Linked DNA regions of Astyanax mexicanus. The protein of the gene in region 1 interacts with the protein of each later gene in a biochemical or structural test. Links are inferred from orthologs where the notes say so. Each region holds a gene or a part of one and is shown in the gene's direction. Other genes may lie near its edges.

Region 1 (15,929 bases):
TCCAGTGGGCTCCTATAGGACATGTGATCTCCAACACAGAACAACACGTAGCCTGTTCATGTTCATGCAGACTGTACACATGCACACACTGTGAGGAAGAACAAAAACCCAGACATCTGCCCAAATGTCTGTCCTCACCTGAAGAATGCTTTGAAGCGGACATCACGAAGATTGCACCATCTCACTGTGATGTGGTGAATACCCTTAGAAAACAAGACCTTGTTCATAAAGAGAGGTTAATACATATTTGGACACTGACACAAGAGGTGATGGAAATGTTAACCTTGAGCTTTAACTGAAGTGGTTTAACAGAAATATTGGATGTAATAATACATTAAAGAAAAATTAAATATCATTGGAAAGTTCAAAATGTGAAACTCATACATTATATAGATGTATTACCTACAAAGTGATCTATTTTAAGCGTTTATTTCTTTTGTTGTTGATGATTATGGCTTACAACCAATGAAAACCCAAGTATCAGTGTCTCAGAAAATTAGAATACCATATAAGACCAATTGGTACTTTTGGAAGTGTGAAAATGAAATCCACGTCTCCATAAAATAGCTGCACAACAGACAGACTCAGAAGGTCCTTCATCCCAAGAGCATCAGACTCTTTATTAACTCATCTATCTATCTATCTATCTATCTATCTATCTATCTATCTATCTATCTATCTATCTATCTATCTATCTATCTATCTATCTATCTATCTATCTATCTATCTATCTATCTATCTATCTATCTATCTATCTATCTATCTATCTAGTTGTCAGCAGAGGGAAGCTTGAAGTGCTGTAAGATTTTGCATTTCAGTTGGAAATCAAAGGACCAGAGTCACACAGTCCAAGCTGCTTGAGGTCTAGTGTGAAGTTTCCACCAATCAGTGATGGTTTGGAGAGACATGTCATCTGCTGGTGTTGATCCACTGTGTTTTATTATCAAGTCTAAAGTCAGTGCAGTTTTGTTTTCCCACAAAATCTTACAGCACTTCATGCTTCCTGCTGCTGACAACTTTTATGGAGATGCAGATTTCATTTTCCAGCAGGACTTCATCAATGTCATCATCTGCCATTGGTTTTGCAGTATTTGGTTGATACTGAGCAGACTGACATCTGGATGCACTAACTAATGCATTCAGTTGTCTTTGATTGGCTAAATACTTTTTATATTTTAATCAGTTGTGCTCCACCATAACTATGTATCATAATTTCTCCAATACGTTTGACCAAGAACACCACTGGTAACTGGTATATATAATGTAAACAAAATTCATAGAATATTTTTTTTACAGGAACATATTTTTAGCTTTAGTCAGTCCACCTACGAAATGTTACATAACGTGTTACGTTCTTTTTTAAAGCCTTTAAAAGCCTTGCAAAAACGGAAACTGGTCATGCAGGCTACATTTCTTTGTGTACATGCATGTAGCCTGTGGCATGTGTCGCTTTGCATGCTCAGGGTGGAAGATATGCTGAGCTACAGATAACAGCACAAACTCATTTGGATTAGTCCCCCTCCTCCCGGCTCTCTGCAGTTAGTTTGTGATAACTGATTTAAATGCAGTTATTTAGTTCATTAAGGAGAATGCACTTCTCGTCTACGAGTCTTAAACGAGACTTATTTGATCAGGATTTAGTAATGACAGATCTATTCTTAAGAGCTGCATCTCAGCACACCTACTCTACACTCCCTCCAGTGGTTCTAGAAAGCTACAGCTGCATGAATTTGGGCTAACTGCAGTGTTTAAGGGAGGGGGTGTGGGAGTGTAGGCCCTTTTCTCTCTCACTTTAACATGTTGTTAAAGCTGCTTTGCATACCAGCACAGCCTTTTTCAAGCGAAAACCTCTCAAAAATACAGGCTGCCCTTTATATAAGGTGATATAAGCTTTATATATGATAGGCAGGAACAGTGAATATTTTGCAAGCAATTAAAAGGTGTATAAAATACCTCAGTCCTCAGTTTTGTTTTACACCTCAAGTCATTTAAAGGGAAAGAACTTTAAATTCCTGGTTTTCTGCATTTAATCAGTTTAAATGAAAGAATTAAAGAAAGCTATTTCTCGAAATATGACAGACACTGTGATTGCTTTATTATCAACATTATGCATAACTTTATTCATTGATGTTTTTTAAGTACTCAACAAAGTACACAATTAAAAAACATGTAAGAAGTATGGAAAATGCAAATATACAGCTCTGGAAAAAAATAAGGGACCACTTAAAATTATGATTTTCTTTGTTTTCACCAAATTAAAAACCTCTGGAATATAATCAAGAGAAAGATGGATGATCACAAGCCATCAAACCACCAAACTGAACTGCTTGAATTTTTTGCACCATGAGTAAAGCAGCATAAAGTTATCCAAAAGCAGTGTGTAAGACTGGTGGAGGAGAACAGGATGCCAAGATGCATGAAAACTGTAATTAAAAAACAGGGTTATTGCACTAAATATTGATATTATGAATGTGAACTTGTTTTCTTTGCATTAATTAAGGTCTGAAAGCTCTGCATATTTTTTGTTATTTCAGCCATTTCTCATTTTCTGCAAATAAATGCTCTAATTGACTTTTTTTATTTGGAATCTGGGAGAAATGTTGTCTGTAGTTTATAGAATAAAACGACAATGTTCATTTTACTCAAACATAAACCTATAAATAGCAAAATCAGAGAAACTGATTCAGAAACTGAAGTGGTCTCCTATTTTTTCCAGACATCCAGACATTCTGAACCCAATATATCTTGTTTTATTGGGTCAACTTCAATTCACTTATTAATATACATCAATACCTTTTAAGCCTGTGACATGTTCCACTGATTAATGGTCAATCACATCATATGACATCTCATCCACTAAAACTCCATTTAAATTTTTAAATGGCCCTGTGCCTTCTTTCAACATTTTTAATACAAGGAAAAACTTGGTGACTCTAGAAAACCCTTAGAGAACCCTTGTTTCTGTAGCCTTAGAAATTGCTTAGAAAGTGCTGTGAGAGTTATGAATCATATTACCCTTAATTCCTAAGAGTGCTCCTAGCTTACAATTGCCACTGAAATCACATACGATGGTGGAATTCCCCTATAATGGCATTTGGCGGGTGCTCTTTTCCAAAGCAATTTACATTTGAATCAGGTTACACAGGTAGGTGAATGTAGCTTCGGGAGCCAATCTCTCTGATTGGTGAAAAGTGGTGAACTTGCCTAGCTGGGGAATTAAACCCTAATACTGCATAGTCTTTAAAGGAGAATTCTGGTGTAAAATGGGCTTTTGATGCAGTAAAACATGATAAAATGTACTTACCTTTGATGAATAGCACACCTCCTACAGTGTTCTGAGATCCAGGAATTTTAACAGTTTGCCTAAACACCCTTCAGACTGGGTAACACTGGGCATAATTTGCCCCGATAAATAGCTTTTTATACCGTTATCCAGCTCAAAGTAGCTCCACACCTCCTTGCTAGAATCTGGAGAGCCCTGACATTTAAAACGAGGCATTAATAACTTAAAAAGTGCACAAGAAGCTTATTAAAAAACACTGTTTACATGCAATCATGCTAGCTTCAGCTCCAAGCGCCGCCATCACTGAACTGATAATAACAGACATATATATATATATATATATATATATATATATATATATATATATATATATATATATATATATATATATATATATATATATACACTGCTCAAAAAAATAAAGGGAACACTCAAATAACACAATATAACTCCAAGTAAATCAAACTTCTGTTAAATTAAACTGTCCACTTAGGAAGCAACACTGATTGACAATCAATTTCACCTGCTGTTGTGCAAATGGAATAGACAACAGGTGGAAATTATTGGCAATTAGCAAGACACACTCAATAAAGGAGTGGTTCTGCAGGTGGGGACCACAGACCACTTCTCAGAACCTATGCTGTCTGGCTGATGTTTTGGTCAGTTTTGAATGTTGGTGGTGCTTTCACACTCGTGGTAGCATGAGACGGACTCTACAACCCACACAAGTGGCTCAGGTAGTGCAGCTCATCCAGGATGGCACATCAATGCGAGCTGTGGCAAGAAGGTTTGCTGTGTCTGTCAGCGTAGTGTCCAGAGGCTGGAGGCGCTACCAGGAGACAGGCCAGTACACCAGGAGACGTGGAGGAGGCCGTAGGAGGGCAACAACCCAGCAGCAGGACCGCTACCTCCGCCTTTGTGCAAGAAGGAACAGGAGGAGCACTGCCAGAGCCCTGCAAAATGACCTCCAGCAGGCCACAAATGTGCATGTGTCTGCACAAACGGTTAGAAACCGACTCCATGAGGATGGTATGAGGGCCCGACGTCCACAGATGGGGTTGTGCTCACAGCCCAACACCGTGCAGGACGCTTGGCATTTGCCAGAGAACACCAGGATTGGCAAATTCGCTACTGGCGCCTTGTGCTCTTCACAGATGAAAGCAGGTTCACACTGAGCACATGACAGACGTGACAGAGTCTGGAGACGCCGCGGAGAGCGGTCTGCTGCCTGCAACATCCTTCAGCATGACCGGTTTGGCAGTGGGTCAGTAATGGTGTGGGGTGGCATTTCTTTGGAGGGCCGCACAGCCCTCCATGTGCTCACCAGAGGTAGCCTGACTGCCATTAGGTACCGAGATGAGATCCTCAGACCCCTTGTAAGACCATATGCTGGTGTGGTTGGCCCTGGGTTCCTCCTAATGCAGGACACTGCTAGACCTCATGTGGCTGGAGTGTGTCAGCAGTTCCTGCAAGATGAAGGCATTGAAGCTATGGACTGGCCCGCCCGTTCCCCAGACCTGAATCCGATTGAGCACATCTGGGACATCATGTCTCGCTCCATCCACCAACGTCACGTTGCACCACAGACTGTCCAGGAGTTGGCGGATGCTTTAGTCCAGGTCTGGGAGGAGATCCCTCAGGAGACCATCCGCCACCTCATCAGGAGCATGCCCAGGCGTTGTAGGGAGGTCATACAGGCACGTGTAGGCCACACACAATACTGAGCCTCATTTTGACTTGTTTTAAGGACATTACATTAAAGTTGGATCAGCCTGTAGTGTGTTTTTTCACTTTAATTTTGTGTGTGGCTCCAAATCCAGGCCTCCATTGGTTAATAAATTTGATTTCCATTGATGATTTTTGTGTGATTTTGTTGTCAGCACATTCAACTTTGTACAGAACAAAGTATTCAATGAGAATATTTCATTCATTCAGATCTAGGATGTGTTATTTGAGTGTTCCCTTTATTTTTTTGAGCAGTATATATATATATATATATATATATATATATATGACTCCGCATAGCGTAGCAGCTGGTGCCAGGAGGCAGGCTATGCGGAATTTATGTATATATATCAGCTAGCTCAAAATCCTTCTACACATTAATTTGGGTATGTGTTAAAGTATGGAAAAATGCATATGATTTCAATTATGATCACGTTACATAAATGCTACAGAATGCTAGCACGGCAGTTACGTAAAGACATAGTCCACACTTTACATTCTCTTCGTCGATGTGTGCTGAAAACAGGAAGGCCAATTACTGCCTCGTCCAGGCGGGGAACAAAGTGTACACATACCACAGGCACATACGTCTCAAACACGTACACATTCTGAGATGCAGATCTTTGCTGAAGAGCGCAGCAAGTGAACCAGTACTTTGCAGTCTTACCGTACATAATTAACCTCTGTCCCTGTGCCACCTCCAACAGCCCCCAGGCCTGCTGAGAAGTAGCTGTGGGGCCTCTTCTGCAAACCAGAGGGGTAATATATGATCCTATAAGAACCTACACATGTGGGCCATATGAGGGACCGAGGCTGGTGCATGAGGAAATGAGAAAATGGAAACGACCAGTAATTTTAGCATGTAGAAATGGACATGTGGGGCACAGAGTGGTCCAGCGGTCTAAAGCGTTGCCACTATGATCGGGAGATTTCTGTTTTGAATCGTGGTCATACAGCTCTCCATCAGCTGCCGAAGTCCTGAAAGAGCACAATTGGCATAGCGGTGTGTAGATGCTGCTCTTTTCCTCCACATCCCTTCCAGGGTGATGTCAATCAGTGCAAGGCGTCTGTGAGCTGATGTATCGGAGCGCTGTGATGCACCTTGGCAATGATGCATCAAAAAGAGGCGGAGTCTGACTTCACATGTGTTGGAGGAAGCATGTGCTAGTCTTTACCCTCCTTATGTTGTGGCATCACTAGTGATTAGGGATATACAGCTGAGTAGAAGCTGAAAACAGAAAACTAGAGAAATTCAAATAGAGAGATTTAACTTAACCTTCTTGTTTTGACGCTCCCTTATAAGGACCCCACAGGACTGCATGTTTTATTGATCAGACACAGTAGTGCTGCTGGAGTTTTTAAACACCTCATCGTTACTGCTGGACCTAAAATCATGAACCATTAAGACTATCAACCAGAAACAGACATCCCAAGTTGCAAAAATTAATTTCAGGGAGGGACCCCTGGACATGGACCAAACCCCCAGCCCCCACCACCCCAGGACCTGGACGTGGACTACCACAAAACCCAACCATACCGCCCCTAAAATAAAAAAAATGACTGTCAGGGTGCCTGCATTTCCTTAAAAATTCTTAAAATATCTTACATTAAAATTCAAGTAATTACAGTCTTAAATTGTCTTAAATTTACTGTAAATTTGCTGTAGGTAAGACATTTTCAGACATTTAATGCCGGCGGGAAAGCACAAACTTTAGCGGTGAGTTAGCTAACGTTACTGGGAAGATAACTAAGGTTAGTAGAGAGCTAGCTAACATTAGCGGTGTGTTAGCTATGTTACCGGGGAGAGAACTATGGTTAGCAAAGAGCTAGCCAACACAGTAACATCAGTTGTGAGCTAGCTTACATGCTAAAATATTAACTTTAGCGGTGAGTTAGCTACGTTACCGGGGAGAGAACTAAAGTAAGAGGAAAGCTAGCTAACATTAGTAGCTAGCTAGCTAACATGCTAACATTTGCGGCTAGTTAGCTACGTTACCAGGGAGAGAACTAAGTAAGTGTCATAACAAAGGGGAAACAAAAGATAACAGCAAAAGATAACAGAACTTCTATCTCTGACTTTTATCCACAAGGTGGACAAATTAGGTAGGAGTGTCCAATTAGGTGGACAGTCAGCCGACACCGTGTTTAAAAACTCCAGCAGCACTGCTGTGTACCTAATATCCAGCAAAATTACAAACATTTTGACTGTACTAATACATGCAACATAATATAGTGCATAATATGAAAGCATAATGTGACTTTTTTAAACAGTGTATCACATATTAGCACGAGGTAAAGATTACACAGTGTGATTTCAAGCTTTTGCCATTTGCGTAAGCTTTGTGTGTGTATATTTATACAACCATTAACAGTGTAAAGAGGATTAAGGTAAAAGATACGCTCTGGAAGTGGGTCATTTGCAAATTCTATATTACTGTTTGATAAATGGGCTTTAACATCCTGAGTGATTTCTTCCTGCTCCATCCCATAACCTGACCTTTCATGACATTTGCATGCACTGTTCATACAGCACTTGGTGCATATAATGTAGTTGCTCACTCCGAACTTCTAAAAGTATTTAAGAAAAACAACAAATTAGAAGAATAGAGAACAAACACCAGTTTCTAACAGATGTGGGAAAAGGTTTCAGGAGAATTTTCCAGTCCAGTCCACATTACCTAAAAATAATGAGATAGCAATTTACTTAATAAGAAAAAAAAACATGCTATTTTTAATATTAAAAAAAATCCTCCTTTTGAGATACTAAGTCATTATTTTGAGATTCTTCTGAGATACCGAGACATTATTTTGAAATAAGTTGAAGCTTTGCAATCTACAGCTTTGCAATCTACTAAATACTGAGATAGCAATTAACTCAATGATAAGAAAAGAAATACAGGCTATTTTTAAAAATACTTCTGAGATACTAAGTCGTTATTTTGGGATACAAGCTCATACATTTAAGATACTAAGACATTATTTTGAGATACTTCTGAGAAACTAATATATTATTTTGAGATACTATTTAACTATATCATTATTTACACAAGCTCATACTTCTGAAATACAAAGATATTATTTTTAGATACTTCTGAGATACTAAGATATTATTTTGAGTTACTTCAGAGATACTAAGATATTATTGTGAGATACCTCTGAGATACAAAGACATTATTTTGAGATACTAAGACATTATTTTGAGATATTATCGCATTATTTTGAGTTACCTCTGAAAAACCAAGACATTATTTTGAGATACTTCTGAGACACTAAGGTATTATTTTGAGACACTATCTCACCATTTTTTTTATTTTATAATAATTTTATTTCTCTGGCTCAGCTGTGCAACCTACTGCTACCTCTAAATACTGAGATAGCAATTATGATAAGAAAATCAAGAAAATACATACTATTTTTAAAAATACTTCTGAGATATTAAGTCATTATTTTGAGATACTAAGACATTATATTGAGTTACTTGTGAAATAACAAGACATTATCTTGAGATACCCCTGAGATACTAAGACATTATTTTGAGATATTAACTCATTATTTTGAGTTACCTCTGAAATACCAAGACATTATTTTGAGTTACTTCTGAGACAATAAGGTATTATTTTGAGACACTATCTCACCATTTTTTTTATTGTATAATTATTTTATTTATCTGGCTCAGCTGTGAAACCTACTACTACCTCTAAATACTGAGATAGCAATTAACACAATGATAAGAAAATCAAGAAAATACATACTATTTAAAAAAAAATATTAAACAATATTAAGTCATTATTTTGAGATACTGTCTCAATGTGTCATTGTTTTCTTTCTCAGGCTCATCCATACAATCAACGCACTGTTATCTCAGAATAATGACTTGATGTATTGTTTATCCTCACAACTCTACCCACCTCTGCTGCGGCTGATAATCATGAATGAAGCCCCCCCCTCTTCTCACCGTGTGTTTCTTTAAGGTTTGCTACAGTGTTGCACGCGGTGTGATAGAAGTCCGCCGCTGCTGTGTGTGCGGAGGGAAAGGCGACCCCCCTCGGTGTGTTTGATAAAAGCCCGGCTGAGGCTCTTGTGGGCGGGGAGCTGGAGCAGCTCGTGTCGGCGCAGCCTCCAACGTGACACACTGGAATAAGCATCAGAAGCGATAGAGAGAGAGAGAAGGAGAGAAAGAGAGAAAGAGAGACCAGCTGCTCAACAACACAAAGCGTACGTTTGGACTCTAAACGTTATACAGTGCGGGGAAATGCTGAGATTTGATCTGCTGCTTGCTGGTTCTCGGTAGGATAGGCTCTCTGACTGTGTCCACCGTCCAGGAATTACACACAGTTTCACCGGCCAGACTGAACAGAGGAGACGAGCTGCAGTGGATGTTTGTTTTTTCGCTGCATTGTTCATGGGAAAGGCGATACGGAGAGACTGCGAGAGCGAACTTGAGAGAAACCAGCCAACCTGAAGATCTGCAGGACTGGGTTTAACAGCTGCAGCAGTATATCATTGGCCTGTGGGAATATAAGCAACATTTTCAACCCAGCATTAACAACATTAACCCAGTCGTTTGCAGAGCTGCTGTGGCAGTAGGCAGTAGCTGTAGTGCCTGTGTGTATGTGTTGAACGGCATGTCCTGCAGGAAGGATTTCTCCTAAATTAGATAGTATTAGTACCAAGTAATAATATGTATTCGGTTATTTAGCTAGCTATGACTTGTTGGTACTGTTATGGCTAGCTATCTAACCTAACTTAACCTAACCTAGCCCAACGCAGCAAGCTCACAGTCTGCAGTCTTTAGGTTAGCTTGGTTGGGTTTTTCCTTCTTCCTCACACTACAGACTACTGCTGTTGCTGTCTGTCTGTCTGACTGTGTGATTGTCTTTCGTCTTGTCTGTTTCATTGGAGGAGGATGACACCAAAGGATGGATAACACGATACGAAAGGTAAACTTGAATGTCTTGTCTTATCTTTTTCCCTATCTGACCTACCTACCTATTGGATCTTTCTATCTAACGTTATATCTCTAGCATTAGGTCTACCTACATACCTAGTTACCTGCTGGCTTGCTGTGTTGTGATTCAGCAACGTGGTGAGACAGATCCGTAGGGCTGCAACGATTCGTTGACATAATCCACAAAATCGTTTTAACTGCACTGTGCACTAAACTACACTTGAAAACGTAGCTTAGCTAATGAGGCAGGGGTTAAGTTTCCTAAGTTGTTCACTCACCCAGTTCACATACCTAATACATAGCTAGGTTACATTTGATTTAAGCTTAAAAGCTATTAAGTCTTATTAACCTAGTTCGCCATGTTAAGACATATTTAACTCTTTATCAGCCACTTTTTACACGCAATTTGCTTAAATAGCTTATTATTATTATTTGCGATATTATACATTAAGGCAGTGACTGAACAACAGGGTGAAGAGACTTACAGGTGTGCAAGCTTGGGCAGGTGAGGGGGGATTGGAGAAATCGATTAGTCGATTATAGACTAATCGAAAAAAAAAAACATAACAATTAGTGAGCAGTCCTATGGAGTGTGTTTACGGGTTGACTAGGACTGCCACTAATGATAGTAGAGTCAACTAATAAGCATTTTTTCAACTATTCGACTCTAAACATCGTTAGATTAGTCGACTAGCTACCAAAATTATCATTAGTGGCAGCTAGTAAATAAAGAGTATATGTGGTGTTTGGGGTAGCTAGTTATTAACACTTACAGGTGTGCAAGCTTGAGCGGGTGAGGGGATGGCAGAAATCGGTTAATCGATCGAAAAAAAAAAACGTCAGATTAGTCGACTAGTTACTAAAATAATCATTAGTGGGCAGTCCTAGTAAATGGTGTGTTAGTAGTAGGTTTTAAATCAGATGGAGAGAGATAAAGAGAGAGAGCAGCTGGTGGTGGCACACTGACTGTTTGGAGCTGCTGATGTGTTTTGGATGTGAACGTTGCTTTTAGAAGTTTAAACCTTCAGAAACCCTGTTTTAATCGATTTATTGAGGTTAACTTCCAAATTCTAGCAAACTCAACATTGTAAAAGCATATATAAACGATGAACACACTGGCTGTTGGAGCTGCTGTGCTGTTGTGGAGTTTAATGGGAACGTTGCTTTAATGTTAAACCTCCAGAAACATTTAGAAACCCTGTTTAAGTCGATTTATTGAGGTTATCTTCCCAATTTCTAGCAGATTCAACGTTGTAGCTGCCTATTCAACACCATATCAACACAGTGTTTGAGCTGCTACTGTGATTTGGAGTTTAATGTGAACGTTTCTTTCATTTGAAACCTTCAGAAACTCTGTTTTAAAAGCGATTTATTCAGGTTAGTTGTTAGATTTGAGCAAACTAATGAGATAGTAAGTGCCTATACAAAATATTTAAACGTTGTTTTTAGCTGGCTACATTAGCTAAACGTATTTTTTATTATTAGTGTTATTATTAATAATACACTAACTACTCCAGATAGCTTGCTAGCCCTGCCTGATTTATTAACCTACTTTTTCCAGCTAATTTTAGCTTCAACACAAACAACGTCTTAGCCAACAAACCGGGTAGAGTTAACTAGTTAATTAACGCTATTTAAGCTAGCCTTAGTTAATCTACCGGTATGTTTAGCTAGCTGTTAAAGCTAGTTATTTAGCTGAGCTCATGTTCTCCCTCTTTTTCTCCTCACGTTTGCATGCTAACAGCTTCTGGAAAGATCTCCCACTGAGATATTGGTCGCTTTGTCACTTTGGCCATAGTTTTAAAGTGTTAAAACGTTAAAATCACAGTTGATATCCAAAACCTGCGGACAAATGGCTGGTTAGCTTAGCTTAGCTAACTCGCTATCCGACACAGAGCTCTGAAGCTCTTCTCCCAACACTACAGAACACAGGGTAGCTAACTGCCCAGCTAATGTCAGTCTCTGAGGTGGACTAGTATCGTTTCAAAACGTTTAAACAAGCTAAATAAGTGTATAAACTGTATTATTCTCTGTTAAAACGTTGCCTGTCTTTAAGTAGTTACCTGACACGAACTATTTAATCAAATACTTAAAGTTTCAGAAGTTTTTCATGCATTTATTTACTATGAGCTAGATAGTTGTGGTGAATTGTCCAGCTCCAGAAAGTTTTCTGGAACTGACATCATGTTAATGCGTGGCCACGACATATTAAGGCGTTTAAATAAGAAAATTAAGCTGCGTGAATGAGCTAATTAACCCTTTCAGACCTGAGTTCTCTCCAGTGATGGGATAAAAGGATGCTGTTTTATGTCCATAATGCACAGAAAAGAAGACTATAATATTCTACTATAAAATCTATATAGCACATAAATCCAATTAAATAAAATATTTAAAAAATATTTTTTTCCCATTGCATTGAAAACCTGTAATATTTTATATTTCATATTTACCTGTTTATTTTTATAAACCCCCATAAATCCCAGAACAGTAAAAAATAAAACATGATTAAAAGTGTTCTAAATCATATTAAACTGTATTTCCAGTGCAGTGGATGGGACCAAGCTACTGCATTACTGGTGTCCGCCTAGTATCTTGATAAGAAAGAATGATTTGATAAGAAGATATATTTTGTATATATTAGGCTTGCTGGAGACTTTCCTAAGAAACTCTGGCGAATATAGTGTCTAGCTACATGTCTATATGTGAATGTACACAGTCATCACATACAAAGTGGTTTTCTAGTTAGTTTAACCAGTAAATCAGCCTCATGCAGCCAGTCTTATTAAAGCTGTCCATAAGCAGTAAATTGGATTGTTAAACCCCCTAAGATCAACGCTGTTTCCATCAGCCCTTGCTGCCACGCCCCCAAATTTCCTTCACCCCCATGGCTGCCACATGGAAATAGGCTTTATTTCTGTGAGGATTGGCTTCCTTAGGAGACCATTTTTAATGTTGATTTAAAAATAATGATATAAGAAAGAATATCTCTGGCAGAAGAATATCTTATGGCTGATTTGGTCTCTGCACATTTAGCTGCTCAGGATAGAACCATCTGTGTTCAGGTTTGTAGGTTAAAGTGTGTGAAAATGGGTCAGACTTGCATGTAACTGGCAAACAATTCCAGGGAAATAAAACTAATTTCCCCTTTTCTCTTCCTTTTGTGTAGAGCCATGCCAAACCACTGACATGCTTGTTGGTGGTTATAGCTTTAAGGTCAAGCTGACAAAGACTAAAGTCTAAATTTGGGCATGCAATTAAACCTGTTCTCTGCTTGTGTTGTCTTGCAGTGAGTCTGGACCTGGGGTTGGGTTACGCAGCCGGGTTGACCGTTCCCTGTTTCCCGAAGGAAAGCGTGAAAAGGCTTTAGCCCCGCCCGTCTTGTGGTTCCTTATGCTCCATGAAGACTCTTCCCGGGTTGCTGCAGGATGGATGGTGTGGATTTGACGGTTCTTGTCTGTCACCATCAGCGCTTGCTTCTCTGTGACTGCGTCTTGTTCTTTTACATTTATAAAAGAACACCCCCTCTCCTGGACTCGTACCATAAATACTGTAACAGTAACTGTTTATAAGGAACACCCAAGGAGGGGGTTCTCCCAGAAACTCTCTGAGGCTCTTTAAAGCTTTTAATTTGTGATCATACCCTTCACTCTGTTTGTGGAGAGAAGTTCTTCACTATAAAGTGAACGTTTACATTTGGATTTATACACAGTAATTTATTTATTCTTTTTGATAGTTAGCTTTATTTTGTTTTTGCCTGGTGTGAAGATGTCCAAGAACAATGGCACAGAGTTCCTGGCCCCTCCGCCACCAAAGAATGTGAATGGTTCGGGCTCCGACTCGCTGCTCGGCGAAAAGCTGGGTGCGGAGGTCCGGCACCGGCGCCACACTATGGATAAAGACCTGAAGACTGCTGAGCACCGGTTCTTTAGGCGCAGTGTCATCTGCGATTCCAACGCTACTGCTCTAGACCTTCCTAGCAAAGCTTGCATCCCCACTTCGCCTCCGGATCGCGAATCATCTGCGGCGCCCTTGAGCCTTGGTTCTGCTCCTGATGTAGCTGCTGAGGCCTGCTTGGCTGTGGTGGAGATTGTTGTAGAAGAACAGGCAGAAGATACCAGTGAAGGAGGGCGGCTGTCTGGGCTTGACGGGGATGAGAAGCAAATCCAGACTTTAAGCCCTGAGAAAAGTGAAGCTTCTGGAACCCCAGTTTTGGTGCCCATCGTAGTGGATAACCAGGAGCAAGATGTTGGAGAGGCTGAAAAACGCGAGGAGGAGGAGAAAGGGGCAGCAAAGGCCCGCGCTGAAGCAGAACAGAGGGAGGCTGAGAAGAAGGAGCGAGAGGATGAGGAAGTGGAGACGAAAGCCGTGGGCACTTCGCCAGATGGGCGCTTTCTTAAGTTTGACATCGAGATTGGACGCGGCTCTTTCAAAACCGTCTACAAGGGCTTGGACACTGAGACAACTGTGGAAGTAGCGTGGTGTGAACTCCAGGTAAGGAAGAATCAATCCTCTCATCCCTAAACTCTTCAGTTAGAGTCTTAGTTGGTCTTTATCCCCAGTAGTTACAGCAAAGGTAATCTAATTGAACGTTTGGCCTCAGTAATATGACCTCCTCTTCTCAGCGTGCTGTGATGATGCACATGCTGCAGGCATTCAAAATAGGTGTGCAGTGTTTAAAACTGCTGATTAAGACGAGATAAGTTGGCAGTCAGTGTCAGAACAGTAGTACAGAAGTGGGTACCAAGGTTACAGCAGGAAGTCTTCTCACCCGACATGTTTTTTTTTGCCATTCTGTGGTTACGTTTCTCACAGTGCCAAATGAAGGTCAATGAAGAGCTGTAGCAGTGGTGGTGGGGAGGAGAGAAGTTCAGTTGCAAGCTCTTTGGTCATATGACCAACTGTTTAAAGAAAAAAGTAATACCAAATTATTTCAGCCGCAAGATATTTTTGCTTTCACTTTGATGCCTGGGTAAGGTTATATCAGGCCAAAGCAATCTTATAAATACCGTCTTGAGCAAATAAATGCAGATCTGACTCTGGGAGTTGAAGCAAATTATGCTCAGTTGGATCTCATTAACCAGTGACCCAACGGACGAGTGTTTTCCCCAAGCATCACAAAGCTCTCCCTCTGTCTCTCTCTCTCTAGGCATCTCTCAGTCTGGCTTTAACTCAATATAACCCATTTCTTTTCATTTTTATTTTGTGGAAAGCATGTTTGTTTGTGAGCACCTTGTCTGTTAGAAAGCATTACTCATGTAATTACTTTTCTGGACGTTAGGGGTGTAATGATGAAGCATGTTTATATACAGCAGAAAGAGACAGGGCCTGAATATGCGCCTTGTGTTCGAAATAGCTGCGTCCCATGTAGGTAGGCCGTGTTTTTTGATGCTTTTAGGTTGTTTTCAAAATGAAGGAATCTGAGAAATTAAGTAATTTTGAGGACACAGGTCCTGGATTACCCCTAATTCTTTGTGCACTTGCAATGCAAAGGGGAAAACGAACAACACAGCAAAAATTAGGCCTAGATTTCCACTAATGCTGCCCGACAGCGCTACACTGAGGAACCCTGAGTGTTCCTGAGTGTCTGATATACTCACCTCTGAACAGCATAAGAACTAACGCTTAGCGTGGTTAGTGTGTAATGCTAATGCTACTCCAGCAGTGCTAGCCGGGGTTAGCAGCAGGCAACAGGCCCATTATACTCACCTCTGACTGGCAAAAGAGCTACTGTTTAGCGTGGTTAGCGGCAAATGCTAATACTGCTCCAGCCTCAGTGCTAGAGACCTTAACTGAAACTCCTTTATAACGCTGCACTTCAGTAGTATATATGTATTATAAGGTGCTATGTCAATTTTTGGGAAAATTAAAAAGATTTAACATGCTCCTTAGTGCGAAAATTGGGTACTATAGAGTATGTCAGTTGGCTTGGTTAAAAAAACAGTGAAGATGGGGAAACCCTGATAAAACCGCAGC
Region 2 (15,837 bases), on another chromosome or scaffold:
GGCAGAAATCACAGTAATCATTTGGAGGTGCCAAGCCATTAGGTCCTTTCTTAGGGGCTGAGGATGAAATGAACTGAGTAAATGCCCTGTAAACGTGTTAACAGCTTAAACTAGCATGCAAGACTAAAGTCTGACACATTTTAAATCTAAATTTGCATTAAAAAGCACTGAAAGACTATCAGCTGTATTTGTCATCGTCAAGTAACTACCAATCAACTAGGTGTTAAAAATAAAATCTACATATCCCTGAGAACACTTACTCTTTGTCTCCTCCTGTGGTGGAGGGGGGAGGATCTCAGGCTCCTCTTTGTCCTCTCCCTCTTCATCAGCCAGGTGAGAGTGGGTGTAGTGGTAACTCAAGCCTGGCCTATTTTTATAGCGCTTTCCACAAACTAGGCAGATAAAATTTTGATTAAAATATTATCACAGAGAAGGTACAACAGCCCACATATACTTATGAAAACAATTATCATGAAACACAGCTTACTGTCACAGGCGTAAGGTTTATCGCGGTCTTCTAGTGCTGCTGCAGCAGCTTCCAATTTTTTCTTCCCATTTCCAACTCCACGACCCTGTCAGACAACACAGACCAGTTCAGTACTTCTTTCAAAAACAAAACATTATTAAAGTAAAAAAAAGAAGAAAAAGTCACAGCAAAGGCTACCTTGGACTTTCCTTTTCGTCTTTTTGGAGTCTCCTCCTCAAAGTCTTCATCGTCCAAGTCATCCAGATAATCTTCTGGTTCCAAGATTCTCTGAGAGACACAATAACAGACTCATGTACAGTACATGTCAAAAGTTTGCATACATGCTTATTATTATTTGTTCTTCATTTGTATGATTTAGTTTTAAATGCTTAAATCTAATGCAGGTGGTTTGGGATGAGTTGCAGCGCAGAGTGAATAAAAAGAAGATTATAAGAACTCGGCACCTTTAGGACTTTTTTAAAGAAGTCAAAGTCTTCAATTTTAATGTAGAAAATAATAAATACCAAAATAAAAACATTGTATGTATATACAACTGTTTACACACTGTAAAACATTTCCACTACACATTCTTTTAAACATGATGTAGTTTGATCAATAAACTTTATTATTTCAATACCTTTCGGACACGTGTGGAGGTGCTGTGGCTACTGGCCCCAGTTGCTCCGGTGATTTCAGTTAAATTGGTTTCTTCCTCTGGGCCCCTGAGTTCTGGAGGGGCTCTCTTATCCAAAGGTTCTCCTTTCAGCAAGGCCTCCAGACTGCTACCATCCAACGTCCCCAGCACATCTTTTTTCAGCCCTAATTCCAGATCCGCTTTGGGAACAAAGGACAGATACACAGGATAATGGCTAAGCATCATAATTTTCCACAAAAAAAACATATAAGAAATAAATGCCCAGACGTAGATCAAACACCTGTTTTAAGTGGGGGGAAAACCAAAGCAGGATCTTCTGGTGGATGTGCTCGCCTCTTTTTCCTCCAGCGACGGGCGGGATATGTGTACAGCTGGCCTGGTGCTATGCCTAGCAAGGAACAAAATTGGTACTACTGAGAAAACAGTCGGAGTAACAAGGAAAAATGTATTATTATTTTTTTAAAAGTTGGCATATTAAACCTGCACTTCTGTGTCTTTTTTCCATCCATATGTAGCAGTTGCTTTGAGCTACTCCAGTCTGGGAGTCCAGAAAAGGCATGAGAATGCTTCTCTCTGCACACAGCCGGGCATTGTAGTTGTGGCACTGCTCCATGGCATCTTTGTAGTATTGTTCACCCAATCTAAAGCACATACACATACATGTTCAGAATCAATGCAACAACAAAAGCAACACGTTAAAGTTAACTCCTGTCTCAATAAAGATAAACTACCTTATTTGCTTAACATGCTTATTAATTTCCCCAGCACCGGATCTTTTTTTTTTATTTCAGCCATTTCTCTTTTTTGCGAACAAATGCTCTAAATGACTGTATTTTCTTTTGGAATTTGGACGAAATTATGCCCATAGTTTATAGAATAAAACAACAATGTTGATTTTACTCAAACATATACCTATAAATAGCAAAATCAGAGAAACTGATTCAGAAACTGAAGTGGTCTCTCTGAAGTAGTCTGTAGTTAACGCTAACTAGCGAGCTAACTGCAATACACAAACATTAAAAACGCACCTTCTCAACAACTTAAGAACACGCGAACAACAAGCTGAGGGTTTAAAGCAGAGTTTAAAACAGTTTATATCTTATAAACACCTTCTACATGCTAACTATACAACCCTGGGGTAACACCACAGCATCGACAGCAGGGGTTTTGTTTCCATTGGAAAACAATGAATGGAGTAGCTGCAGCTGTGGTGCTACTTAGCAAACCCACTCAAAATCGATAAATCCAGCTAAACAAACCCACTTTCATTTACACGATCCTTCGCCAAAACTTATGCTCTATTAAACGATCAGTTTATATGCTATAAACAAGCTGTGAAAGATGGTTTAAACGCTCAAAAAATGGTAAATCAACTCACACTTTAACAACATTCTCAACGGCGGCCGCCATTTTTTGCCGTAATAGCTGTTGTGTGGATGCCGCGCATGCGCACTGTGGACACGGGAACTAGCACACGGTCACCTCCTCCTCCTCCTTCTTCTTCTTTATTCAAACACAGCTGCCTCCTAAACCGCACTTTGATATATATATATATATATATATATATATATATATATTAATAGCTGCAATATATAGACTATACCGGCATTAATATATATCATAGACTACAGGACTATACTACTAATAACACGGTGTGTACAGAGTAGCTAATGTACTAATGCTTTTTAGTGAGCTAAAAAATCTCATTTTACGCAGACAATGAATGAATTAAATGAACCCACACATTTAATTACGGCTCTGCCTTAAAATATCCAGCTCATATATTTTAGCTGGTCAGCTCGTTGGTTTAATTGCTCTCGACCGATGTTGTCTCTAAATGACCAGCTGGAGTTTTTAAAGCTTTTTTAGGTGCTTTTCTTTTTTTTTTTTTTTTACCTCAACCTCCCTTAAAATATCTTAAAATGTTAGCAACTAAAGCTAATTTGTTTAGTTAGTAGCCTAACACTCGCTCTGCTTGCATTCTATCTATCTACATTTAGCTAAGATAAAAAATTATATTAGCTAGCTAACCTACAGCACCATGTGTTAAAGCTAGCGCTTCATATATGAGCAGATGGTGGGCAGCTAGCCAGAGAACAAAAGCACGAGCCTGAAAGAAAGAGACCCTACAACACAAAAAACCTTTATATTGCTAGCTGAACGTGATAGTCCATTAGCCGACTATATAGCTACTGCTTTTTTAACAGTTCTTATAGCATTTTTATCTTTTTAAACACAGTATATTAACGTATATTACAACCCGCCGTCGTAATAAACGACAAAGACCACACATAAAAATCCAGTTTAATAGACACGCTGCTTTAACCCTATATGGCATGAATTATATCTTTCGGGAGATTTCTCATCTGACCTCCTCTTACCCTGCATGTTTTGGGTTCTTCCTTGCTTTAAAACACCAAATTATCTAAAGGCTAAATCTAAATTTAATTTGGTATAACCACAGGGACTCCCAAGCTTTCATAAATGCTGTTTTCCTTCCCGAAAAGGTATAATTAATGCCATATAGGTTTAAAGCAATGTGTTTAATAAACTGGGTTTTATATGTGTGTTCCACTGCTGGATAATGATTTATTTAAAAAAAAAACATGAATTAACACATATTTTTATTTATGTCCCACCTATACGCCTTATTGTACTGGACGTAGATATGCAATGTAACATTATATTAAAGATAAGTAGGTACAGCAAGGAAGTGAATAAATACGTATGGTATGGAAGGGTTTGTGGTTTGTGTTTCCTGACGGCAAGACTATGCCACAGAGGGTTAAAAACACTAAATAAAGGCATTAAATAATAGATTATTGTAGTTGACGTGATTAGGGCTTTATATTATTTATATCTTTATTTAGTAAATTTAGGGGTCTAAAATAATGAATTAAATGTGATTCTGTTGGATGTGGGCGGTGCTACAACCTCCCCCCGCGTCTCCGCCTCTCACCACGCCCGCCCGCCGCCGCCATTTATTACAGAGCAGCCGCCATTTCACATCACCGTTCCCGGAGCCGACTGAGAGGTTACTAACCTGTTCAAGTCAGCGCTAAGAAAATGGAAAACCAGCTTTGCAAGCTTTTCGTCGGTGGACTCAACGTCCAAACTACGGATGAAGGTCTCCGCAAGCATTTCGAGCAGTACGGGCAGCTGACCGACTGCGTGGTTGTCCAAAACCAGCAGCTAAAGCGCTCCCGCTGCTTCGGCTTCGTGACCTACACCTCGCCGGAGGAGGCCGACGCCGCCATGTCGGCTAGGCCGCATGTCCTGGACGGGAACAACGTGGAGATCAAGCGGGCGGTGGCCCGGGAAGACGCAGGGAAGCCAGAAGCTCTCGCTAAGGTCAAGAAAATTTTCGTCGGCGGTCTGAAGGACGACATCGAAGATTCGCACCTGATCGAGTGCTTTTCTCAGTTCGGCTCCGTCGAGAAGGCCGAGGTGATCATGGACAAAGACACGGGTAAGAAGCGCGGCTTCGGCTTCGTGTACTTCGACGATAACGACTCGGCGGACAAAGCGGTCGTGCTCAAGTTCCACACAATCAACGGACACAAAGTGGAGGTGAAGAAAGCGCTGACCAAGCAGGAGATGCAGTCTGCAGGCGGTCGCGGCGGCAACCGGGGAGGACGAGGCGGACGCGGCATGGGAAGGCCCCAGAACGGCTATGGCGGCGGAAGAGGCGGTGGCTACGGTGGCGGCTATGGCGGCGGCTACGGAGGCAACGACGGCAGCTATGGCGGTGGTTACGGTGGTGGCTACGGTGGCGGGTATGGGGGAGGCTACGGGGACCAAATGGGTGGCTACGGCGGCGGTAACGGCTACAATGACTTTGGAAGCGGCTATGGCCAGCAGTCTTCTGGCTATGGGCCAATGAAAGGTAATTACTCGGGCAGAAGCAGCGCTCCTTACTCCCGCGGCGGTGGCGGTGGTGGTGGTTACGGCAGGGGGGGTTATGGAGGCTCGTATTAAGAGGGCGTGTTTTAGGTCCGAGTTTAAGAGCTGCTCCTTCTCCAGGACTCGAACGAACTCCTCTTTTTCACTTATCCATTCATACAGGAACCCTCGACTAACTAACTACCCAGCCTAGCACAATAGGAGAGATAGGGCGCCCCTCCGCGGCCTATCGCCGCCTATACAGTTAAACCCAGCGATCAAGTTCTTACAGCAGCTATTACCTACTACTACCCCAGACCCCAGTTCATCGGTCTGCTCTAGAACTACTAGGCGGATTCACATCAAGTCAAATAGGACTACTACTACTCTGGATCTTTTACTTTAATCTGACCTCCCGCGGGTGGCAAGGGCAGGTTACCTGACGGAGAACTGTTTTACCACGCTTATTTGTCTGAATTAAGTTAAGATTAGCTCACTTGCTTGTTAGCATAGGCATGTGTTTTCTCTCTTTTAGTATATGTATTGTATCCTGTCTTTTTATTTCTTCCTTTTTTACCTGAGTTTAAGAAGTGTTAAATCTGGGCTATTTTTTGTTATTAAAAGCGTTAGCTGTGTATTTCCGGTGCAGTTAATTTGTAGTCCTTTATTTTTTTTAAAACTAGGCTCGTTGGTCATTATAAAGGCGAGCTGGGTCGGCGCTTAAATTATCGCCCTAAAATTGGTGGTGATCTCGGTCTTGGCTGAGAGCAGCATGTGTATATAGAAGGACCAGGCCATGGTTCGTTCTCGTCTCACGTTCATCAATTACTCCTTCCTCGTTATAGTGACTGACATGTAAATCCCACTTATATATGTTAAATAGTTGAGTCTATTATAATTATTATTATTATGGAATTATTGATTAAACATTATTGTTACAGTGAACCTGTTTTCAGATTATTTTAGGTTGGATTTCGATTTCTGCTTTTAGTTTAAACACCAAGAAGACTTCATTTAAAATGCTTTGTCTCACTGTGTTCCTGAAAGGTATTGACTTATTAAATATTGTTTTTCAGTTATACACTAAAACTGTATGTATTTCTATTTAATAAAAGTTCCATTAGCCATTGTTTTACTGACTTTAGACGAGCCTCATTTTGGGTGGTTTTGAATAGACTAGACTAAGCGTATTAGCTTAGCAGTAATTGATTAGATGCTGTTCATCGGCTCATTGTCTTTCTACTTCACTTTGATCATCTCTAGATCAGATGAGTGGGGGGATTACCATTTCCTCACCCATTTAACTAAGGATGTTGTATTTTACCTATTTTCTTATTGTAAAATATGTCTAGAGCTCTGTTCCAATACTTTTAGTGATCAAATAAGACGGATCTATACCTTAGCTGTGTCCACTACTACGTCATTGGATTCTCCAGGGGTACTCCAGAGCTGTAGAAACCCAGCTGAAAGTCCATAGGATATTCGCACCAGGTTTCAGGTTTGTAGAAATACTTTACACAAGACATTACATTGTCTTAAACACCATATGGATCCACCTGGAGCAACTGAACTTGCATCAGGTATTTTCTAGATGATCCAGTAATGCGTGCATGCAACATAAGTTTTACACATTTCTTAAATATGTATTTTAACCTCAGTAAATTTGAGGTGACTTGTGTGAATTAATTTAAGTGGTAAATAGTATAATTTATATTGTCTGGTTTAATGTATGTGAAGCTGTGGTGCTACGCTCTAGTTATGTCTTAATCAAATATTTTAGACAATTTTCAGTTTAAGGTCTTACCGGAGTGTGGGGCTTAGAGTTCCTGTTTACTTGATGCATTAGTTCCAGATATTAATGACACCAAATGCAAGGAGATCAGCATTTATAAGCAAGGTTTGTGGCTTCAGTTATTTATCTTACATCTTATCTTACACCCCCTCCCTCATCATCTCGGTGTTTTGCTTGTGTTTTGTCCCTACACATTTATGGCACACTGAAAGGACTTGGATAACATTGATATGTGCATTAAACTGTAGTAGTAATCCTTTCATGGCTTTAAGTAGTTTTGAATTTAATGCACTTGTCTGGGCTGTTGAATTGTATGACTGTGCAATTTTCATACCAGAAAGTGCACTTTGCATTTTACTTCCCTTCCATTATTTAAACAGTTTTAGTTGCCCTAAAGAATAATTAGTAGTATAAATAATGAACTGATTGGGTTTGGCAAATTTAGAGCCTGTTTGAGGAACTAATTACTAAATTTAAATGATCATGCACTTACATCTACCCCTCTCTTTTACCCTGCAGAAATGACAAAACTGCTGGGAATAGGTAACTTCTTGGTTATAAGCCCAGCTGGTGGATGAAGACCTTTTGGAAAGCAGACCTGATTGATTTGAAAGTTCTGCAAGTAAGTAAAATGTTAAATGACCCAGAAATCTAAATGTTGTGGACATAGACATTGATGCATACTATTTACCTAACAATTTTGTATTTTTTACAGTGAACTGCAGCAAAAGCAAACTTCGGAGTGTGCATATGCTCCTACCTACATGGAGAGGCCTGTATGAGCACACAGTGGTAAGTTCAGAATGCTAAGAAACTGCAGTAATTATGCATTTTCATGTTTTAATAAGTGGCAAACCTAATGTGTCCCTGTTTTTCTTTTTACAGGCTCCAGAGGTTGGTGTGGCGCTGAGGCTCCAGGGCACTGGTGGAGAGGAAGATGATTCAATGTTGTTGAACTTCAAGATACCAGTGTTTTTGTGACCAATTCTTGCCTGCATTTTTTTTTCCTACAGAACATGAGAATGACTGACTATACATTTGCACTTGATTGAATAAAAATCATGATTGCGAATCTGAATCTGCTTGGTTATTAAAATGCTGTCTAGATGTTGTTTAGATCAGTGTGTTTCAATCTTTTAGTTAAAACTCCGTTTTTGTAAAGTGCCAATGTAGACCCCTACTCTGGGTAAAAAAAAAAGAAAAAAGGGCAGGATTTAAAACTGAATTTTTAATAATTCACCAAATAATTGGGTTATGGCCAAATTGGATAATGATAAAGTGGCATAACAGTTTTATTTATTTATTTTTCGTGAGGTACTGATTTTGAGCCCCCCAGTTTGAGAACTGCTTGGTTGGACAATGCTGTTCATCTTGTGTTCCTTTTGGTACCATTCACAACAGCTTGTAATTGAGTAGGTTTATATCCATTATAAATTCTTTTTCTTTTTTTTTTCTTTTTTTTAGATATAGAGATATAATCCATTTAGATGGCAACAATCCTGGGTGTGATTTAAATACGAGGCGCGTATATTAGTAGTCTGGGTGCCTGGTGGTGGTTTGATTGTATTTTTGTACATATATAGTTATTCTCAGGGGAACCTGGATATTTGTAGGCTTTCTTCAATTCTTTTCCTTGAGGCTCACTGCCGTGTACAGTTAAGTGTTTTTTTCTGCTTTAATGTCTCAACAGAAACTTTTTTAATTGGCTGATTAGTTGGAAGCGTAATAAAGTGTATGGTAGTGGGTCTTCAGGGTAAAGGGAACTGTGGTCATGAGTAGCCTGTCCGGTGAATGTCCTCTGGACTGGTTTGGGGAATCTAGCTACTGGGCCGCGAGCCAACGACGACAATAGGTAATGGTTTTGATATCTGGGTGTGACAAGATGCTGCAGTGATGGCTGCCCACTGCTCTGGGTGTGTGTCCTCTATACTAGTACTTAGTTTTCTAAATATAGGTTAAAGTTGGAGGCCAAATTACATCTGTACCTACTGTACAAGTATAGTGTATATGGTTGTCTTGTCTTGCTCATTTCTGAATTCATGCCCTGTCCATTTGCTCCTTCTGAGAGTCTGAATAAGTGTTAGAGGATATTTCTGCAGAAGATAGCCCATGTTGTTCGGCACCTTTAGCATCCTACGCTCACAGTTTCCCGGGAGCTCGTCGGCGCGTTACCTGGCAACGTGGACACGCGCTGATTGGACGGTTGTGAGTGAGAGGACAGCGGGCAGAGAGAGGGCTGGAAACTGCCTCTGACACTCAGCATGTAAACATTAAGCTACAGACTGCCCCGCTGCTTATTAACACACTACAGTAAGGGATACAGGGCGAGCTCAGCGCGGGGCTGTGCAGTCTGCTGACCACTACCGAGGGGAGAAGGCAGAAAGGGCGGAAAATAAGTTATAACTATGGGCCCGAGAACCGCAACGGGATGAGCTAGCGAGCCTACCAGCGTTAGCCTAGCCACCCGGCTAGTTGCAGTGTTCCGGAAACATGGAATTTATCGGGTAAGTGCTGAAAGTAAAGGCACGGAAACCGCTTTTCCACAAAAATACACTCGCTTAAGAGTAAAATATGTGAGATACTTTACCCAAACGACTCCTTTAATTGGTGGATTTACCCTAGCTAACTAGCTGTATGTGACAAAGTCAGGCTAATAGCAGCTAGCGTTGGCTAACGCTAGCTCTGTGTCAGGTCTGTTTACCGAAACGACAGACAGTTAGCTACGGCTAGCTAGTTAACCTAGCTGTGAAAAAATATGAAACACCACTTAAAAATGATGAGTGTCTTGGATTTACCTAATCGAAAACCTCTGGAATATAATCAAGAAGAAGATGCATTATCACAATCCATCAAACCAAACTGAACTGCTTGAATGTTTGCACCAGGAGTGACATAAAGTTATCCAAAAGCAGTGTGTGAGACTGGTGGTGGAGAACATTCTAAGGTGCATGAAAACTGTGTTTAAAAATCGGGTTTATTCCATCAAATACTGATTTCTGAACTCTTTTAACGTATAAACTTGTTTTCTTCGCATTAATTGAGGTCCGAAAGCTTAAAACAGCTGTGTTATTTCGGCCATTTCTCTTTTTTTGCAAATAAATGCTCTGAATTGCAGTATTTATATTTGGATTGTTTTTATTTTACTCAAACATATACCTATAAATAGCAAAACCAGAGAAACTGAAGTGCTCTCTTATTTTTTTTATTTCTTATTTTCATTCTATATATGTGTAGCTACTTGAGTTGAAATAGAAATACCCAAATATTCTTCAGTAGGACTAAAGACTGTTTTGCTTTGAAATGTAGCTGCTTAAGTGTCAAAAGTACTAACAAGCAAAAGTACCACGAATTATTAAGGCTTTAATGTCCTATTATCATTATTGTAACAATACTAGACAACAGTGATGTCTATTAAAGTCCCAAACACCAAATAATGAAAGCAGATGTATTTGCAAATTAGCTATAAAGGTAATTTTAAGGAAATGTGCTTTAGCAAACTATTACTGCACTGCATCTATACAGTACTAGCGAAAGATTTGGACACTTTTCATGCAATGTGTTTTCTTTCTTTTTACATTGTAAATTTAATATAGAAGACATTAGCACTATACAGGAATAGATCTGCACACCCACTAAATTTCTCAGTGTCTTCATGAGGTAGAGTCACCTGGAATAGTTTTCTCAGCGTCCTGATGGAGTTTCTGGAGGTGCTGAACAATAGTTACTGCTTTTTCTTCACGCTGTGAAGCTCCAGCTCATCCCAAATTGCCAAATTACCCATTTCAGTTGATCAGGTTTAGATTAGGGGATTGTAGAGGACAAACACTTTTTATTTACATATTCCATATGTGTCCCTTAATTGATTTCATTTCTTTAACATCAATCTTTAATTAAGAAAATATATTAAATAAAGAAAACATTAAATAAGAAAGTGTGTCCACACGTTTTACTTGTACTGTATATTTAATATATTTTGGCATAGGCACTATAAATTGTATACAGTTGTTGAACGGTATGTTTGAAATGGATCAATATATCCAGCAGGTAAAAACAAGCTCAAAACAAAGTGCAAATTGTACTGTACTATGATTTGTGTTTTTTTTTTGACAAGTTATCTTTTTATGCACACATGAGCCAAAAGGAATGCCAGATCTGCCATAATGGAATAGTGGATTAAAATGGAAGATAATTGACTTTGAAATGTTGTTGAGGTAAAGTGACCTGAAATATTTAATAGAGCCAATTACTTTTACTTTTTCACTGTCCACTGGGTGATAGTAGTTATTTGGCACGATTAGACTGTGTGAAAATATCATAAGAGGATGCTTTTTATGATATTAATGGCTAGACTTTTTTATTATTGGAAAAAGTGTGTAAGCTTTAGCTGTAGTTGATTGGTAGGTTTTAGCTACATTTCTAGAGACAGATATAGCCAGAGTTAGAGAGGTAGCATACTGTATATGTTGTTTATACATAAGTTCTCATCGTATCTAATCCTGTCTCACCAGGAGCCGAGCTACATCCCTGCAAGAATTTGATTCAGAGGACGATGGAAGAGACCCAGGCATGCACACCTTCAGTCATGCACATATGAGGAAAGCCTTTAGGTTAATGAATGACCTGAGAAGGTAAATAAATGCATGGCATTTTTTTAAAAGGGAAAATGTGCATGTACTTGTTTATATACCCATTCTGAAAAACAAATATCTTCTATTATAAAGATCAGTGTATATTTTGATTTGTAATTTAATGTAAAATTAGCAAAAAAAATGTCAAAAACAAACAAAATTTAACTTTTTTTCTTTTTCTTCTCATTAATGATTGCAGCAGAAAGATGCTCTGTGATGTGCTGCTAGTAGCTGGAGAAGTGGAGATTCCGGCACATAAAGTTGTCCTTGCTTCTTGTAGTCCCTACTTCTGTGCTATGTTTACAGGTACTCTGTCTAAATAAAGTAATGAATATCTATAATTAAGCAATACATTTAAGTATCTCAGCATATTGTACATCACAATTTGACAACGTGAAAGCTTAACACCTTGATAAAGGTACCTTCTACTGAAACTTTCATAAAAATTCATGAAAAGGTTTCCCATGTTCCACTGCAGTGACTTAGTTCACCTTTAGTAATGCTGTTGTTGTTTTTGTTTTAATCATGGCTCTCTCCATAATAAAATCTGCTGAAACTGTGTTGTGTTTGCTGTTTTCAGGTGAAATGAGTGAAAGTAAGGCTCCTCGTGTTGAAATAAGGGATGTGGAAGGGCAGATCCTCATGAAACTGGTGGACTACATTTATACGGCTCAGATCGAAGTCTCAGAGGACAATGTTCAGGTGAGTGGATTTTGCATGTTATTTTACCAGTTGTTTTTATATTATCTTAATTGTATAATATGCCTCATGTGTTTTCCTGTTTTCTTGACTCTTTTGCAATTCGTTTGCACCTTTTTTCTCTGGCAAGTCCTGCTCTGAGGCACAGCATTTCCTGCCATTATTAAGAGGGGAAATGTGTAAAGAGCGAGGGAAGGTTCTGCCTGTGTTTACCTCTCATGCCCTTGTGCTCTGATTGTTCATGATTGTGAGGATAATATAAAGTCATGTAATGCCTTTTTTGGGTGTTTCATTAGATTGTTAGCAAGTAGAGGGGTTGTTTTGCTACAGGCACCACAGCTGTAGAGAACAGATGCTCCAAAAAAGCTGCATGGAGCTTTCTCTTGAGATTTAAGTGTATCATGGAAGAGGTAGAAAGGCTCAGTGAAGCTGAGCAATGTGACCTAGTTTTGGTCATGCAGTATGTACAAATGCTGCAGTGAGAAATGTGACTGTTATTAAGCAAGGCTGCATCAGCATGTGGGCTTCTGAAGAATGTTAAGCATAGAAGATTTCTCTGCTTTTTTTTCATATTATGAACACTTGAGCTCACGAATCTCACCTCCAACTCAAAACTAACACAAATCACAAATCGTTCAGCAAATCAAGCAGTTTAGAATGCAGTAATAGATGGATAGATGCGGTAGTATCTGGCTCAGTGAGGGTTGGAGCTAGAATAATCTCAGCTCTTCAATAAGGTCCGTCTTCTGGCACCCACATGACTTTTTTTTGTCCTTTAAAATGATGAACACATCAAAAAAAAATCGGTAACACAAAGAAGTTTCGCAAAGATGATGACAAAAAAAAAGTCTAAAAGAAAAAGGTTTGTTTACTTACGTAACTAACTTGTAAAACTAGTAACTGTGTTTCTGTTAAAGCTCTTGAATGCCACAGAACTGAAGAACATTGCAGACATTAATATTTTTCTCCTACATTTAAAGAATAACATCAAATGTACATTATTTCCTACATAAATATGGAACATATGGAATAATCATTTGTTGTAAAAAGTCAGATTCATTGCAGGAAGTTACAGGTTTTTTACCTTAATCATAAAATATCACATGATGTATCTGCTCAGGTTCTGCTGCCAGCAGCCAGTTTGCTGCAGCTTCTGGATGTGAGGCAGGTGTGCTGTGAGTTCCTGCAGGCTCAGCTCCATCCCACCAACTGCCTCGGCATCCGCGCCTTTGCCGACCTGCACGCCTGCACTGACTTGCTCAACCATGCCCACGCCTTTGCTGGTGAGCTTTTTTATCTGGCTCATATTAACTTTAAGCTCAGTTTAGTTTCAAGCACATAAAGTAGAGCTGGAGAACAGCCAGCTGACTAACAGCCTATGTGTGTGTATATGTTTGTTCTTGTGCTAAACAGAGCAGCATTTCTCAGAGGTCATGCTGGGAGAGGAGTTCATGGGTCTTTCCTTACAGCAAGTGTGCAGCCTTATCTCTAGTGACAAACTAACTGTGTCTACAGAGGAGAAGGTAAGCTTTATGTGTATGTTTTCTGTATGTATCTATATTAATCTTTTAAATCATTTTAATGTCTTCATGTTATTACCTTCCTTTTCACTGTTCTCTGAAAGCACTTCTAAAAAATAATCTCCAGTGGGCATTATTATAATTATTTGTCGTTATTGTTGTTGTTATCATCATTTTGGATAATTTATCTTAAACAAATTCAGCTCACAATTAAGTTAATTATTCAAGAGTAATTATGTAATTGATCATAAAATGTTACTCCAGGTGACTGCTGAAATGCCTATACCTGTAAAAGTTGAGAGGTCAAAACTGGTCAGCTTGCTCATGGCAAGGCTGTGTTATCAGAGCCTGATTAGTGGGTGTCAAACAGACAGGGCATTTCATTAATGAAGCTGTGCATGCACAGTGGGTGGTGATGATTGTGACTGGCAGTGTCCGGCCAGAATTGTCCTTGTGAATCAACAAGCGCGTCTATCAGAAAACGCACTAATTTTAATGCAGGGCGTTTCACAACCATCTCACAGATCAGTGCAGCTTCCTTTAGAATCCAAGGAACATGGCCAAAGTCATGGGACACAATGCTAGTTCCTATCCCATGAATTGTGGCATGTAAGTGAATGGCTGTATATTTTGTGAAATGCTGCTGTGAAATCCTGCTTTTCTTTAATTACAGGAACAGGTTACATGTTTTTGGTGGGTGTGGTTAATATTCAGTTAAGTCAGTTTTAATTATTTGGCCTACTTTCATTGTTTAATCCTGTTCTTGTTTAATCCACTGGTGTCTAGTAAATGTGACAGACAGTAGCAGTTGTTAAAACCATATGCTGGCTATGGAACAAGTCATCCAACTCCATGTTGGTACACTTTAGTAATTTCACTGGATGACTGACTGAAGGCTCTGTCATAAACAGTCTGACTCGCAGGCCAGAGTGCTGCTGGGATGCAGAAGGAGCCGAGCTGTGCGTCAGTTGGAGCCCTCACACACCATTAGCTGCTCCGTGTCTCACCCCCCAAGTTCGCAAGCTCAGCTGCTGCCAGCTGTCATCCGCCATCAGAGCCACCTCAGTGACTCTGCCATCATGAAACAGAGGATGCAGGAGCTTACAGCTTGTTTATTGCACCTCCCCAGGTTTTTGAAGCCATGATCGCATGGATAAAACAAGACAAGGAGGCACGTCTAGAGCACATGCCAAAGCTCATGGAACATGTTCGACTGCCACTATTATCCAGAGATTACCTGGTTCAGGTAGGCTGTCTTTAGGTCTGATTTACACCATGATGTTTGGTATTATTTTATTTTTGGCTAAGCCCTTTACATTACATTAATTTGTGTATCTGTGCAGATTGTAGAAGAGGAGGCCTTGATCAAGAACAACAACACGTGTAAGGACTTTCTCATTGAAGCCATGAAATACCACCTATTACCTGCAGACCAACGACACCTGATAAAGACAGACAGGACACGGCCACGCACACCAGTCAGCCTGCCTAAGGTATGCAACGTTATCGGTTGACTTATAGAGTTGGTTTTCCAGACAGAAAGTAAGCCTAGGATGTATTATCAGATATTAAGGAAACATGCTGAGTTTCCACACTGGCAGCTCCTGTCAGCAGAGCTTCAGACAGTATTTTTCATTTGAACTGTGAGGTATGTTACATTAATCTGTGTGGCTGGTAGCCACCGAATCTGCCCACCACTATTCCCCCAGTCCCATTTCCACACTCAGGGTTGCCAGCTATTTACAGCTGCACGCAAGTGTGCTATTTTTCTGCTGAGCAGATAATCACTGAGCTTCAGTAAGTTCGCTAACCAAAAGGCTGGGTAATTTATCACCACCACTAGCGTAGTAGAGACATGCAATTTAGACACTGAAATGTGTGTATATAACCACGTAAGCTTTGTGTCCGGGGATGAGCATGTGGAGCTGACAACTCCTGTGTCCATTTCACAAACTTGCTCTCTTAAAAGTTTATGAATATGAACTTGTTTTCTTTGCATTATTTGAGCTCTGAAAGCTCTGCATCTTTTTTGTTATTTCAGTCATTTCTCGTTTTATGCAAATAAATGCAGTAAATGACTATTTTAATTTGGAATTTGGGAGAAATGTTGTCCGTAGTTTAAAGAATAAAACAACAATGTTAATTTTACTTAAACTGAAGTGGTCTCTTTATTTTTTCCAGAGCTGTAGACATTT

The links.
Region 2: of the proteins of wnk1b (region 1) and klhl3, one has a biochemical effect on the other in vitro, tested with the Homo sapiens proteins (2 studies listed by BioGRID). The link is inferred for Astyanax mexicanus from reciprocal best matches to the Homo sapiens genes WNK1 and KLHL3.

The regions. Positions count from the first base shown.
Region 1 is NC_064409.1:5,328,243-5,344,171, forward strand, and holds the start of wnk1b (serine/threonine-protein kinase WNK1), read left to right. Parts: upstream 1-9,006; 5' UTR 9,007-9,948; intron 9,949-13,243; 5' UTR 13,244-13,721; coding exon 13,722-14,447; intron 14,448-15,929. UniProt on the Homo sapiens protein: Serine/threonine-protein kinase component of the WNK1-SPAK/OSR1 kinase cascade, which acts as a key regulator of blood pressure and regulatory volume increase by promoting ion influx.
Region 2 is NC_064417.1:37,863,256-37,879,092, forward strand, and holds the start of klhl3 (kelch-like protein 3), read left to right. Parts: upstream 1-8,855; 5' UTR 8,856-9,285; coding exon 9,286-9,299; intron 9,300-10,929; exon of another isoform or gene 10,930-10,995; coding exon of another isoform or gene 10,996-11,006; intron 11,007-11,303; coding exon 11,304-11,423; intron 11,424-11,622; coding exon 11,623-11,729; intron 11,730-12,003; coding exon 12,004-12,125; intron 12,126-13,242; coding exon 13,243-13,405; intron 13,406-13,535; coding exon 13,536-13,645; intron 13,646-14,771; coding exon 14,772-14,888; intron 14,889-14,985; coding exon 14,986-15,135; intron 15,136-15,837. Other genes in the region: dpf2l (D4, zinc and double PHD fingers family 2, like), read right to left, coding at 1-57, 261-392, 488-572, 665-754, 1,104-1,300, 1,402-1,509, 1,602-1,762, 2,500-2,531; hnrnpa0a (heterogeneous nuclear ribonucleoprotein A0a), read left to right, coding at 4,188-5,099. UniProt on the Homo sapiens protein: Substrate-specific adapter of a BCR (BTB-CUL3-RBX1) E3 ubiquitin ligase complex that acts as a regulator of ion transport in the distal nephron.